3 linked regions of the Caenorhabditis elegans genome follow. The protein of the gene in region 3 purifies or fractionates together with the protein of the main gene of each other region. This does not show direct contact. Each region holds a gene or a part of one and is shown on either strand. Other genes may lie near its edges.

What was found.
Region 1: the proteins of B0035.3 (region 3) and lpr-5 fractionate together in Caenorhabditis elegans (co-fractionation; one large-scale study listed by BioGRID). This does not show direct contact.
Region 2: the proteins of B0035.3 (region 3) and Y94H6A.2 fractionate together in Caenorhabditis elegans (co-fractionation; one large-scale study listed by BioGRID). This does not show direct contact.

What each region holds. Positions count from the first base shown.
Region 1 is NC_003284.9:11,059,795-11,065,370, forward strand, and holds lpr-5 (Lipocalin domain-containing protein), read left to right. Parts: upstream 1-2,514; 5' UTR 2,515-2,527; coding exon 2,528-3,016; intron 3,017-3,064; coding exon 3,065-3,286; intron 3,287-3,333; coding exon 3,334-3,459; intron 3,460-3,505; coding exon 3,506-3,896; intron 3,897-3,945; coding exon 3,946-4,208; intron 4,209-4,265; coding exon 4,266-4,406; 3' UTR 4,407-4,745; downstream 4,746-5,576. Other genes in the region: lpr-6 (LiPocalin-Related protein), read left to right, coding at 200-409, 595-769, 856-1,017, 1,060-1,196, 1,464-1,597, 1,647-1,836; lpr-4 (Lipocalin domain-containing protein), read left to right, coding at 5,394-5,507, 5,556-5,576.
Region 2 is NC_003282.8:2,728,091-2,733,253, forward strand, and holds Y94H6A.2 (DUF4781 domain-containing protein), read left to right. Parts: upstream 1-2,201; coding exon 2,202-2,208; intron 2,209-2,263; coding exon 2,264-2,547; intron 2,548-2,663; coding exon 2,664-2,789; intron 2,790-2,845; coding exon 2,846-2,974; intron 2,975-3,021; coding exon 3,022-3,266; intron 3,267-3,811; coding exon 3,812-4,027; intron 4,028-4,079; coding exon 4,080-4,314; 3' UTR 4,315-4,332; downstream 4,333-5,163.
Region 3 is NC_003282.8:11,313,039-11,317,328, forward strand, and holds B0035.3 (Macro domain-containing protein), read right to left. Parts: upstream 1,961-4,290; 5' UTR 1,930-1,960; coding exon 1,884-1,929; intron 1,837-1,883; coding exon 1,597-1,836; intron 1,550-1,596; coding exon 1,428-1,549; intron 1,381-1,427; coding exon 1,177-1,380; 3' UTR 1,040-1,176; downstream 1-1,039. Other genes in the region: DnaJ homolog dnj-2, read right to left, coding at 1-106, 156-253, 301-499, 544-757, 821-938; pfd-4 (putative prefoldin subunit 4), read left to right, coding at 2,170-2,256, 2,307-2,438, 2,512-2,673.

The DNA.
Region 1 (5,576 bases), on a different chromosome or scaffold from region 3:
ATATTATACTGCAATTCACAAATCCATTTACAACGCATTGAACCCCACTTAAAAAGGGTGAAGGTTACAAGTACACCGTGCCCTAATTACTCACGTAATGTAGGTAAATTGTGGTTTACTGCTTGATGAGACAGTTTCACATGAAACATGGAACACACAGGCACCGAAAATGAAGAGAAGAGGGGGAGCTTGAAGATTAATGGGCGGGGTTCAGGTTATGAAGGTCGAGGAAGAGAAAGGAGAAGGCGTCCATCGCAACAGCCAGCAACTGCAGCAGTCACTTCTGTTCACTACATATACGGTCAATATTCTAGTAGTGACCGGTGTCTTTCTAAAAATAATGTGGTCTCGAAATGTTGCACTGGTCTTCTGTCTCCTTGGTGGAGTTACCGCTATTGGAGAAAATGCGGTAAGTATCCCTTAAAACAACAAACTAGTCGAATTTTTCGGATTCAAATTCAATTTAATTAAATAAGATACAGAACATTGGAAATTATCTTTCTTTTGTTAAATGACATTTGTAATTTATGATATTTAGTAACTTACGTCAAGTTTTGAATATGTGTCAGCATAATATTAAAAATTGTAATTCAGATGGATTTCCAAGCCATTACTGGTATTCTTGGAGGAATTGGAAAAATGCTCGAAAGCAAAATTGACACCATCAATGTCCCTGCGGAGATGGTTATGGGAAAATGGTTCCAGATGTACAAGGCTGCTATGAACTTTGATGTTGTCCGCACCACAATGTTCTGCCCAGTTGCTTATTGTAAGTTTATCTTTCTAAAGTCTCAAAAACATGTTTTTGAACCTGTTCGAATCATAAACTAAGCTCAAATAACAAGTAACTTGCAGTCTCTCCTAATCCGATAATGGGTGAAGAAGGATTCTCGATGCAAGAAGCTTACAGAGTGGTTTCAAAAACTGGACCAATTGAGACTTACAAAAGAGACATGAACAAAGTTGGACCAGGACAATACTGGATGTACACTGAAGAGTACTTCTACCCAAGACAATGTGAGCGAAAAACATTTAATTTTGACTAAACTTGCTTTTCAGTTTACATTATCGGAGCTGGACCATCTTTCAATAATGGCACCAGAAATTCTACCGAGCCACTCCAATACTTGATTGCTTCTGATGCTAACCGACTTTCCCTCATGGTTTATGCTAGAGATCCTCTTGTATTTTTCCAGGTCAGTTGCGAAACATCAAGCGTTGCGGCGCGTGTTTTTTGTTTTTACTCTCCTGTAGGGCGCACTAGTGAGATTGATGAACACAGTGATTGACAGGAGGCGAGAATTGGGTTAGCTTATCAACATCGGTTGACCTTATTTTGAATTATTTCTCCGATTACAATCCGTGTCTATTGGATTATGGAATTTGGGATTCAGAAATCGGGAAAGAAAAAAAGCGAAAGTGACAATTGTCTGACATATTTGCAAACATAACATCATTTACAGAAGTACAACAAGGAGGTTGTTGAGTTCATGAATGGACACGGATTTGGAGGAAATGTCTTCTGGAACAGCCCAAAGCCAATTTACCAAGGACCAGACTGCGAATGGCCTTCTGAAAAGGAGGTCTTTGCCAGAAGGTAATGTAATTTACTCATGTAACAGACAGAAAATATAGTTTATTTTCAGAGTTTTGAAAAACCAAGAAATGAACGAGCGCAACAAGAATGGAACTTCAGACCCAATTCTTTCCGGAATGCCACTTGCCGACATGATCCGCGACCCAAAGCGTACTTTGGAAAGACTAGTTGGAACAAAAGCTTTGCAACAAGCCACCGCCGGAATCACAGCCGGTCCACCAGCCAGCCGTAGCGAGTGACCTCATTCTACCATTTTTCGCCATTTTTCCAGTACTTCTACCATTTTCTCTTAATAATCTCTTTCCAATTTCTTCACGCACTAATTATCAATCTGTGATCCTTTAATTATTGTCTACATGTATTAATAATAATATTAATAATGCAATTAATAAGACACGGTTCCGTGTTCCTTCCGTTGTATCTCATTGTCTTTTGAAAAAAGAAAAGTTAATTCAATAAATTTGTAAGTTCATTTTGAATCAGTGTTTTACAGTAGACTTACAGTAGTTTTGCAGTCGCTTACAGTACAATAGTATTGATATTGAAGGTTGTACAACGTTTACTTTCAGTTTATCCTCCTTTCCGTTTTACCGATTTTCGGCGTCATCCATTTGACAGTTTCACTCCCGAACTTCAAACTTCCGATAATAAGATTTTCGGGCCTGTGTACCGTATCAAAAGCAATTCGAAAATGTATGACTGTCTTTAGAGAAACATACACTTGCTGCAACTAGCAAGCGAAACGAGGACACGATTTGAGATTTGAGAAGATAAACTCGAAGAGGCGAGAGAAGAAAGAGAACACAGAGAGGAAAGAAATCGGCGAAGGAGGTTGGACAAAAGAGAAGCGAAAACACTGGACGGATGACCCCGGTTCATTCGACACACCTTCTACAACATCCACACTTTTATTCATTTCATCCATCGAGAATGCTCTCGATAGGCATCCTCTCTATTTGTCTTGTTGGCCTTGCCGGCGCCCAACTTGACGCTTTTGCTCTTCCATCAGCACAACGTTATGCTCCTAAACCAACAGTGCCACCAGAGTTTTCCAATTACTTTGAACTTGATGGGCATGCTCGCGAATTGGTGGACTCTCTGCTAGGACCCCGCCCAGGAGGCCTTTTCCCGGAAAAGACGTTCGAGATTGGAGCCCCACAAGGTCCAGTTCAAAATGGAAATCAGCCAACACACGTTGTTTCAAGCCTAGAGAAGACACTTGAGTCATTCTTCACTGCTCCAGAGCTTCCCGCTGGCCAAGCACTTCCACCAGGATTTGGGTCTGGGTTTTCCGTTGCAAACAACAATAAGGCATTGACTTCTTTCGGAGACATTCGTCGTTCGCCATCAGGCAAAAAGGAAAACCAGGAGGTAGAAGGATCCGGTGCTGTCGAAAACTCAATTGCAGGAATTCCAAATGTACGTAAATCATCTTTCTGTCAGTCCGTTTTAAAATTTGTATTTTAGGTATTCTTGAAGTTGGCAAAACAACCAACTGCTCTAGTTGACGCATTCAACAAGGCAGTTTCGGTTCCAAGAGACTCCAGCGGAAACCCAGTGTTTGAGACAGCACCAGTTGTCCCAGAAGGTGGATTCCTTCCAACTTCAGAAGTTCGTCGCTCTCCATCTTCAGTATCTGAAGTCTCGCACTCAATTGATTCTAAATCAGATGAACTTAATACAGAAGAGGTAAATTTTTTTCGCAGCGTTCTCGAACATTTATTTTTATCTTTTAGTATGGAGGTCTTTCCGAAGACTCAAACTCGTCTGGAGGTGGATTGATTGGAACTATTTTCAATCTTATCAAGCTCGGAGGAAAGAAAGCTAAGGAGAACGCCAAAAATGGGAACGGAACCGCTCCAGTAAGATTTCATATTCTTTTTAACCATCTTAATCGAGTTAATTTAGGAAAAGAACACTATCGGAAAGGCTGTATCCAACCTCCTTTCGGGAGAAAACAGTCCATTCCCAAAACCTGGTAGCAACATTCTGACTGATATGCTTTTCAAGACTCTTTCCAGTGGTTCACTCGAGTCCAATGGAACTGAAATTGAGAAGAGTGAAAATGGCTCAATTGTCCTTACCCCAGCTCAATCTGCCGCCATCAGCAGCAATCTTGAAATGATTCAAGATCTTATCATCAAGCCAAACTCTCCACTATGCACACAAAAACCAATCCCGGTTGAATTTGAACTCGATCCTCTTATGGGACAATGGTACCAAGTTATCTACTCTCCACCAGTATCTACTGGCCCTTGCAGCATGGTTTCTTACAAAAAACTTAGTGATAATGGAGAAGGTAACGTGCATTAATAGATTTTAATCAGTTTTAACTAGTTGTTTTTCAGCCACCGGATCAATCGTAGATGTCTATGAGTACACAACTGATGGAACTCCATATGGAAAGCCAATAATCTCTTCTGGATATGCCTTGGTGAAAGGAAAGGGAGAACTCATCTTCAGAACAAATTCCAACAAAGAAGATGTGACTGTGCACATTCTTAGCGTTGGACCATTGAATCATCAGGGAGAATATGAATATGTTGTCATGTCCACCAACTGCAACTATCCAGTCTATGTATTTGCAAGAGATACTAGCATTTTCAAGCAGGTATGAAAATTAATTAACAGTGATTATGTTGTGATAATTCAACTGATATTATTTTAGAAATACGAACCAGTTGTCAATGAGTTCCTGGACAAGAGCGGAATTGTGAATGGAATCTCTCGCCTGCTTAATGTTGTTGCTCCAGTCGACAACACTATGTGCATCTTCCCACCACATCTTTTCTACAACCAAGGAAGATAGTTTACTCGCCACCATCTTAATAATTTCTAATAACTCCTAATAATTTTTAATATGGTTTTTTTCCATCCATCATCCCGTTCTCATTGCCCTTTCTTCTCTTTCAACCCTCGGGTGATTACCTCATCTTTTTAAGTCTTAGTTTACAATCCAAAGCATTTTTCTTTAATTTTCATTTAGAAACTACACAAAAAATCAGGCCGTGGGCTCGTGCATTCCTTGTTGTATATAGAATTTCGAATAATTTATTCCTTTTTATAATTTCGGTTATATTTTTTCTACGTCTTTCACACTTGTCCTAATAATGTTGATAATATGCAGTTAATAAATTTTTTAAACTATCTATTTTTAACATTTCTTTAGTAATGAAGAAAGAAGTACAATTATTAAACGGATGCGCAATTCTTAACAAAAATGGCATCGTCGAAAAATCAGAGTTGATGTTTCTATAATTGATCATAAAGGATTAAATACAATTAATGAATATTCTCAATTTCTCGGCCCAGATCATTCTTACAACCATGTTATAAAATTATTCAGAAAAGTCATTTTTTAGAACTTAAAACTTTGGTTTACGAAAAATGCCGATTTTGACTTATTGAGAAAGGGGTTTCTTCTTATTTTCTTGTATCAATTTACTCATTTTTCAATTAGGTCAGGTCAAACTCTGGAACAGTGTTTGCCTGTCACATTTATCTTCATCATTCCTATTTCTGAGAGTATCTCTCTATCTCTATCAGAGTAATTCAATCCAGAGGATTAGAAAGGGGTACGGGGAAAAGCGAATATCGGTCAAGTGAAAGTGGTGACTGTCGCAATGATTCGCGGATACAGTCCAGTGAATCTTGCATGAAGAGACGCAAAAGAAGAAGCGAAAATTGGCACGTAACGAGAGTGAAAGCCTATCGACGCTGGACATTTTGAGGTCAACATATATCTCACCCGGACGATACAGCCCATTGAGAAAGCCCACACTTGGAAGTTCTAACGATGCAACGGCTGACGGCGGTTGTTTTCGCCTGCGTAATTGGAGGAGTTTTCCTCGCTGCACCAGATGCACCAACATTCGATAGCCTGCCCGCTGGAATCGACCCAACTGCAAAGGTAAACATTTTGTATTTTTTTCAGTTATTTGAGAGTGCTCAATTTCAGATTGGACCACCAGGAACTGAC
Region 2 (5,163 bases), 8.6 Mb from region 3:
TTCGCAATTTCCAATCTATCAATATACAGGGTGCGCCAAAAGTATGGTAACACGTGAAGCGCTCTTTTACATGAGCTTTTCGCGCGACTGCCACTTCATACATACAATTTTCTATAGAATACTGATAGCTGAATAAATTTCCTTCAATTTGACCTAAAATTTGTAATGTTTCCCAATAAGGTGTAACCTTTATCACCTCGGCAATTTGACGAACCCTTTCGGCAAAACAAAAAAAAAGTTTTGGCACGCGGCACTTCCCACACAAACGCACATCCCACGCACGCCAATAATTTTCAGATCTATGATTTTTATGTTAAATTCAAAGTTAAAGAAGTGAAGAAGCGTTTTTAATTGTTTTTGTAGTATTTGAAAATTTTCTGTATCGACACTGGCGCCTAGAAAAAACCTTTGAATATTTCATGAATTCAACTTTGCGAAAATTACTCAGTTTTTTTTGTCTTCACAAGGTGTAACGACCCACAAAATCATCCGAGCTTAATCTTCTATTAAAATTCTTGAAAGTCAGATCAAAACGTTCCCCGAAAAATACTAAAATGAGTTTTCCTGCATACTGCTGCCGCCGCTCACATCTATCTTTCTGGCGACTGTGTCATTCAAGGCTTCTATGTCATTCAAACTACTGCCACAGTCATACCATGACAGAACTTTTTTGGATTTTTGTTTTCAAAGAATCTCTAGACCAAGAGCATTCTTTGAACTATAAAAACTTGTAAGATACTTGATGGGTTCCTCGAAAAAAAAAAAGTAAAAATCCCGCAGAATGCCGACTTGCGTGCCATCAAGAACGTGATCTCAAAAGTTCGGAAAGCCTGCAGCGATGCGGTTAGGGAAATTTTAAAAATTTTAAACGTTAATCTGGTCAGTATTTCATGGAGATCAAAATTTATACAAATTGATGTAATAACTCTCGCCACACGTGAAGTTACAGAGCTGCAAACGTGTTACCATACTTATGGCGCAGAAGAAAAATCAATCAACAATAACTTTATTTAGGATACACCTGCAAATATCCAAAACGATTTACGATCATAGTTTTTTCCCAAAAAAGTCTTTTCGAAAAATCCCTCAATCAAGGCGCCGGGTCTTTTTGAATACTCATTTAAGTACCAGTTCACCGGTCCGAAAAAGATAGTAGTGTTGCGCCGAATGATCAACACAAGTCCACATTCATCGCCGAACCGTTCGCAAAGCTTTTCCGCATAATCTCCTGGAGATTCTTCGAAGGATGCTCGATGCAACACCTCCACAGTCGTAGTAAGTACAGTGTACCGCATTTTCTATATTAGTCGCCACTACCATACTTTTATAATGTGTTTAACTGAAGACAATTAATGTTAATGTTAATGCAATATGAACTAATACGGAAAATACGGTATTTATTTAAAGAAAACACCATTAATTAATTTAAATCAATATTCAGCATTCATGACCTTCGTGAGTACGTGCGTGGTCTTCGCGAAACGTTCGGCGCCGAATGTGGCTTTGTGGGGATTATTCGAAAACATAGAAACATTCGCAAACGTTGGGTAAACTGTGACCCAGACGATTATCCCAGAGGACCCGGTGACTGTATTGAGAGATGTTTCAAGGGCAATGGTTCTGACTTTTTTTTTGGTAGTGGCGACTTTTTTCAGTACTGGTACGGTCAAAAGTTTGAGATAATTGCTGGTGTTCGATGAATATTTGTAGTTTTTATTCAAAACCGTTCCATTGTAATAAAAACTACGACATTTTATCTTTTTGCGATTTCTTTTTTTTTAAATAAATATTTTATCTAATACCTTCAAGGAAAACTAATGTATCTTTTACATGTTTTTTGTGAATAAATCTTTTCTTTCTTTTAAAATCTTTTAAAAAAATCAGAATTTATAGTTTAGTTCTTTAGTTCGGAACTCACTTACTATGCCAAAAATCGTGTTCCCTAAATGAGTCACTTGGTACTATTGACATATTTGAGTATTTTCAACACATAATTTTCTTTGACATTTTTGCCCTTTCCGAATTTTTATGAGGAAGACGCTAGCATTCCTGATAAAGAAAATGTCAGTATTCCTCATACTTAGTTCCACAAGAAAAATGGCATGCGTGTAATGTGTAGCACTAGAGTATAAAACAAGAACAGAGAAAAGAAAGATAAGACATCATTGCTTTTCTATTTGGAGACAGTTATATATTTCAAGATGGCTGGTAAGATTCTATTTTTAAAATAATATGAAATTGAATCGAATTCTCAATTTTCCAGCTGTAAACTACACGACGGGATTTATTTCGGTGGTCACTGGCTGCCTAGGAGTACATGGGGCTTATGCGTCCGCCGCAGTGGTTCCGCATTTAACTGCGATTTGTGCATGCGGTGCTATAGTTAGTGCATATGTTACGATGGCTGCATACAAAGATGACAAATCAACGGAGCTGATACTCAGCGAGCTCAAAACGCTCGACAAGAAGATTGGGGAACTGTCACATAAGATGGACGCGTTGTTCGGTGATCTTAAGTCATTTATAACAACGTCTCACTTTTACATGGTATGTTCGGAATAGATATTGGTTCAAAGTGTGGTTACGAAGCCTTCTGCGCAGGAAAAAAGTTAATCACGACCCTTTTTAACCTTCACCCTTTACCCTTACTCAAAATTTTGCAGAATGAGGTCGCTACAATCAAAACGTTGATGAAATACATGCAGGATACGATGAACAATCCTTGTAAATACACAAAAGAGCTATTTCGTGGCGCTGTGACGGATAATAAACCTTTGTGGATTGCAGAGGTAGGACTTATTAAGGAATCACAAGATTTCAATGTTAGACAGCTTCAAATTTCCAGCAAATGATTATAAAACTCGACCAGGAGGAAACGAATCCTCTCAAAATGGCAATGAACTGTGATCCTCTTCGACCAACGGAAACTTTTGAAAAATGGAGAAAAATAATCGACGGAGTGCTTGCCCAATGTGTAGGTACTCACTACATCCCTCACTAAATAAAGTGTATCATATTCAGCTGATTTTGGAGACGTACCAGAATGGAATGTTTTGCGATAAGAACATGATTGGACCGAGTCGTTTAAAGAAGCAAACCGAAGAATTACAACTGAAAATGAATAGATGGGCTGAAGAATACCGTCAAGATCACTCGTACTGGGACGATGGAGTCTTAAGTTTAATCCATAATGTGCAAGACAATAATGAGGGAAGTGAAAATATACGAAATATTTTGACTAAAGAATTGGGCAAGATCATGACAAAGTGAGTATTTTTGTAAATTGACAAGGGACATAAAAGGGTAATTGTGTATTATAACTTTACTTTTTTCAAATTAAATTATGACCGGGGTAGCAATTATTTTATCTGTTAAGTTATTTAAAACGTGAATAGTATTTCCATTATTAGGCTTACAAAGGAAGTATTCCAATTTAACCCCGGTCAATTTAGGCACTTTGAACTGGAAAGAAGTCGCTCTGAAAAATTTTCAATGCATTTTTCACGATTTTCGCAGCCCGTAAAATTCCTCCAAATGTTGATTTTTGCAGATTTCTGATGATTTCTAGGCTTTTGAGGGCCAACCAATTTTTTTCTGGAATTTTTTTAATTTGTGAAAAAATATAAAAGATTTTGGTCCCGAAAGACCAAAAAAGCCAAAAAATCTGCGTTTTCCGAAAATTTATTCAAAAAAAGACAGCCCTGCTGTGAACGTCAGTAATTTTTCTCACATCCACTTACAAATGTAACCATTTTTTGCACACCATATCGCAAACAGTCAGATTTCAAATTGATTTTCCAAAATATTTCAGCCACAAATTTTACGTGATCGTCTACGATTTCTGTGACGGTTCATCTGAGGAGTACCAATTCACTTCATACAGCTATTTCAAACGCAATTTTAAATCTTCTTTCAATCGAAACGGGTGCAATGCTTTTGTTTTACGAAGCCTCAGAACCCAAGATTGCAAAAGGCACGAGGAGAACCTTCAAAGAAAGCTGCAAGCTGCCCTTCCAATGGAATACGAGTTTGTATTTTGCGGCTTAATGGCATAACATTTGATCCAAACATTTTTTCAGCTACAGATTCAAATTGATTGATTATGCGGAAAAGCTTTGCAAACGGTTCGGCGATGAATGTGGACTTGTGTTGATCATTCGGCGCAACACTACTATCTTTTTCGGACCGGTGAACTGGTACTTAAATGAGTATTCAAAAAGACCCGGCGCCTTGATTGAGGGATTTTTCGAAAAGACTTTTTTGGGAAAAAACTATGATCGTAAATCGTTTTGGATATTTGCAGGTGTATCCTAAATAAAGTTATTGTTGATTGATTTTTCTTCTGCGCCATAAGTATGGTAACACGTTTGCAGCTCTGTAACTTCACGTGTGGCGAGAGTTATTACATCAATTTGTATAAATTTTGATCTCCATGAAATACTGACCAGATTAACGTTTAAAATTTTTAAAATTTCCCTAACCGCATCGCTGCAGGCTTTCCGAACTTTTGAGATCACGTTCTTGATGGCACGCAAGTCGGCATTCTGCGGGATTTTTACTTTTTTTTTTTCGAGGAACCCATCAAGTATCTTACAAGTTTTTATAGTTCAAAGAATGCTCTTGGTCTAGAGATTCTTTGAAAACAAAAATCCAAAAAAGTTCTGTCATGGTATGACTGTGGCAGTAGTTTGAATGACATAGAAGCCTTGAATGACACAGTCGCCAGAAAGATAGATGTGAGCGGCGGCAGCAGTATGCAGGAAAACTCATTTTAGTATTTTTCGGGGAACGTTTTGATCTGACTTTCAAGAATTTTAATAGAAGATTAAGCTCGGATGATTTTGTGGGTCGTTACACCTTGTGAAGACAAAAAAAACTGAGTAATTTTCGCAAAGTTGAATTCATGAAATATTCAAAGGTTTTTTCTAGGCGCCAGTGTCGATACAGAAAATTTTCAAATACTACAAAAACAATTAAAAACGCTTCTTCACTTCTTTAACTTTGAATTTAACATAAAAATCATAGATCTGAAAATTATTGGCGTGCGTGGGATGTGCGTTTGTGTGGGAAGTGCCGCGTGCCAAAACTTTTTTTTTGTTTTGCCGAAAGGGTTCGTCAAATTGCCGAGGTGATAAAGGTTACACCTTATTGGGAAACATTACA
Region 3 (4,290 bases):
CCAATACCAAAGTGCTGTCCATTTAATGTATCGGAATATCGTTAATGGGAAAATAATTGTGTGCCATGCGAGAGTATCGTAGATGGATTCTCGTTTGTAGCCACCCCTAAAATGTAGCTCAAATTATTTTACGAAAAATCTCAAGAATAACTGACGTGACATCAAGATTATCAATAATTATTTGCTTGATAACTTCATCATTGTCAACTCCTTTGTTCTTTTTTAATTTTCCATTCCGATCCATTTCCAGCAACTGAAAGCTAGATATTAATTACAGTGCAAGCTTAAAAATCGACCTACGCCTTTATCAATTCCATCTTTAATTGCCATATTGCGGAATTTTCCAACACCGGTTGCATATTCGATTGCTTCTGAGAACTTGTGTTTTGCAGAGAGGAATTGGAAGAGTGAAATGATAAGAATAGTTCCAACAATGACAATTCGAAGATCTACTTTTGGAGCGGCGCGAAGACGATAATATTGATAGTAATTGTAGAATCTTAAATAAAGAATATTTAAGTGTTCATATTCAGAGCGTCATACCTTTGATCAGGATGATCGAGATAATAGTCGTAATTAGTTTTTGCTTCATCATCCTTAAGTGTTTCATAAGCAGTGGCAATTACTCGGAAACGTTCTTCGGCGAGAAGCTTCTCTTCCTTATTCTTGACTCTATCTGGATGATGCTTCCTAGCCAGAGCTCTATATGCTTTAGCTAGCTTCTGCTTATCGAATTCCTCACGATTGACTTCGAGTACTGTAAATATGAATGCATTTATAGTTTTAACGTTTTCAGATCTTCATGAAAGTTTTGACTCACCATCATAACAGTTTTCTAATCCACAATAGAGCTCTGGAGCAAATCCGACCGATTCACATTCCTGGACGAAAAATGATACTAGTAAGAACAAGATGGGCGCCGCAATTGCTGAGCGCATTCTGCTGAAAAACAAAGATTGAGAAAAAATTTAAAAATGAGAACTGAAATATGAATCACCGAAAATCGGAAAATGAGAGAAAAACACAAATAATCATAGGTGAAATGTGACATGTTTATGAAGCAATCAACACCGGAAACAATGTAAACATTACGGATCAAAACCGATCTGATAGTGAGATTATGGAGTCAACATAAAATAAAAATAGTCATGTACAGTAAATGTGCAATAGAAAGTTTTAGGCGATACTTTGATCCTTTGATGCAGCATAATCACCGAAATACTTATTGTAATGCTCGTTGTCAATGTCAAGGAATGTAACAAGTACAATCCGTTCAATTGTATCATTCTTTTCAAGATACTCGGTCAGGAAATTGGTGACGGTTTTAGCGGCATCGTCATTTGGATAACCGTACACACCAGTAGAAATGCAACAGAAGGCCTGAAAATATATAATATTTGCAGTTATTTTTCAGATGAAACACTTACAATACTCTTCATCCCGTTCTCGATAGCAATATCTAGTGATGTTCTGTAACATGCAACAAGATTTTCACGCCGTTCATCTGTGACATTTCCATATACTTGTGGACCAACTGTGTGGATTATTTCTGAAAATTCCAATAAAATACGATCAAACAATGCTATAAATACTTACTTTTGATGTGATTAATATTGCATCCAGAGGTAATGACAGCATCTCCGACAGCACATCCGTTGTATTGCTGGCATTCTTCCTGTAGTTGCTTCCGTCCAGCTGCACGATGAATTGCACCATCAACGCCACCACCTCCAGCTAATCGACTGTTTGCTGCATTGACAATTGCGTCGACGGAAAGTTTAGTAATATCTCCATCCCAGACACTGATACGGCCCAGAACGTTTTTGGCAACCTTGACTGAAAATTGTGTACTATTTTAGAATTATGAAACGCCTGAAGCTTACATTTTTCAAAGAGAGTTGGAATTTCTGAAATTTTAGCTGCTGCCATTTTTTATCAGCCTTAAATTTGAACTGATAGTGACTTAAAAACAAAACAAATTAGGATAAAACAACGCGTGGAAGAAATTGTTCACGAGGACTACACGCAACATGGACTAGAATTTCGTGCGGCCGTGGCTGAGTTTTCTTATTTTTATGTTTCTCTCTCCAGAATTTTCTGTTTAATATCTTTTAATGTTGTTTCTTCGTTGTTTCTTTAATTAAATCTTTGAATTAAAAATAATTTAGAATGCCGGAACACACGAAAGTTTCTGCTGAAGACCAAGCGCTTCTCAATAAATTCGCTCGGTCATACCAAACACAAACCCAGTTAAAAGTACGTTTTTTTTTAAATTTTACATTAAAGTTTCTCTTCTTTAATTTCAGGCAGACGTTAAAGAAGCTAAAACACTCATTGACAATATCAATGAAGCAAGTGATGAAATTTTGTTGCTCGATGATGAGGATTCAGCATCAATTCCATGCAGAATTGGAAGCTGCTTCGTTCATTTCAATGGGGTGAGCAGTTTTTTTTTTAATTTGAATTGAGAATTAACGTTTGGTTTACACGAAAGTAGTGATTGGTTTTCAGGATAGTCTGAATGAGCATTTGGAAGGAAAGAAGACAACAGCAGAGAAGGTTTTGTCTGAGAAAACCTCCGAGTTGGATGCAATCTCAGCGGACATGGAGCAAATCAAGAAGGTTTTGTACGCCAAATTCGGAGATCAGATCAATTTGGACGCTGAAGAATAATCTATAAATTCTAATTTCTTATTTTGCTCGATTTTGTATCTTTTCCGTTGAAGCTTTCATATATAAAAATTATCTCAATTTAAAAATTGCTTTTCTCACCTTTTTCACAACGTGTGCTCACTGTTCACTGTTTCCGCGTATTTTGCTGATGAATTTTTTCGACCGATTTTCCTTATCACGAATGGCACCACCCACTTGTGGGTCACACCAGATCCTAAATATCAATATAGTGGACGGGAAGAGGAAGGTTTTTTCGTGTTTGGTGTTCATTTTAGTTTACATGTTTTGTTTCCCATTGCTCTTTATTTATAGAGGAGACGCTCGCCCACGTAATATAATAGCATTTTGGAAAAATCCATTATCTTTCAGACAATCTTATCATGATTTCCACAATAGACTGGCTAGAATGTAGCATTCTAAATATTTGAATTTAACAGAAAATATTCAATTTCTCTTTAAAAAAATACTTGAAAATTAATTATATTCCCAAATTGGCAACATTCTTTCCCGATTGTCTTTCTGTCCATTTAATTTGTCTGCCCTTTCTTTTCTCACCTTTTTTATCCGTTTCTTTCTTTGTCACCTCCGAAGTTTTGTCAGCATTTTCCGTTTTTTTCTCCTCATATTTTGTTTGCACTTTTCACCTTCTAAAAAAATGATCGGCAGAGACACAAATAAATGTGGCCATTCGTGTGCTCCGTTTTCCAAATGAAACCCGATTGGCAGAATTTATGGTTGAAAATGCATAGTTATTTAGGAGTTGCAAAGAACAGTTTTCATTCTTCTTTTTCTTTGTCTTCTTGTTAATTTGGTAAACTGATCAGACGTTAATCAAATTGATAAACTTTCAAGTTCAGTGATTTTTGATTTGTTTTCTGAAAACGAAATTAGTTTTTTCTCTGATAGACTAAGTCTTCGAAGAATTCATCTTCCAGATAAAATCCAAAAAAAATGTGTTCCAGAATATCCTAGTCGGTCAACTAAAAGTCAAGAACCATAGATTAAATCTAGAGTTACAAAGTTTCGTCTCTTCTCCAGAGTCAAGTTACTCGAGTTTTTATGTTTCCTAGAGAAATACATTGTTTCTTTTCATTGTCGATCAATGTCGCCCAGAGAACATTATTTGTCATGGTTACCACTCGCACACACTACACAATTTCATTCAGTCATCATTTTTTGTGACCCGAGAAGATTTCAGTAAATATTTTCATGTTTGTAAAGAGACTGGCGCATCCACTTTTCTCTTACTGTTTCTTTCTTCTCTCGCTGCCCTGTGAAAAAAATGGAAGTGGAGTAAAAAGTGACCGATTTATAGTGTTGTTCCAGTTGTTCCAATTCATTTATATTGTAGACTGCGGTTCGCTACTAGGTATATGATTCGAAAGGAAAAATTACATTTTTTAGTGCTAGAAATTAACATTATTCCATTAAATGTAACTAGCTGAAAGTAAGCAGTTTATTACTCTGCCAGTAAAAAAGAATTGCGCAGAATCATTATGAAGTACATCAATATATCAATTAACGTATTTCTTTTTGATTTTTCGTTGTATAAATGAAACAATAATCTCACTTTTAAATAACATTTATGTGTATCTAGATGGTTTACTTTGAAACTTG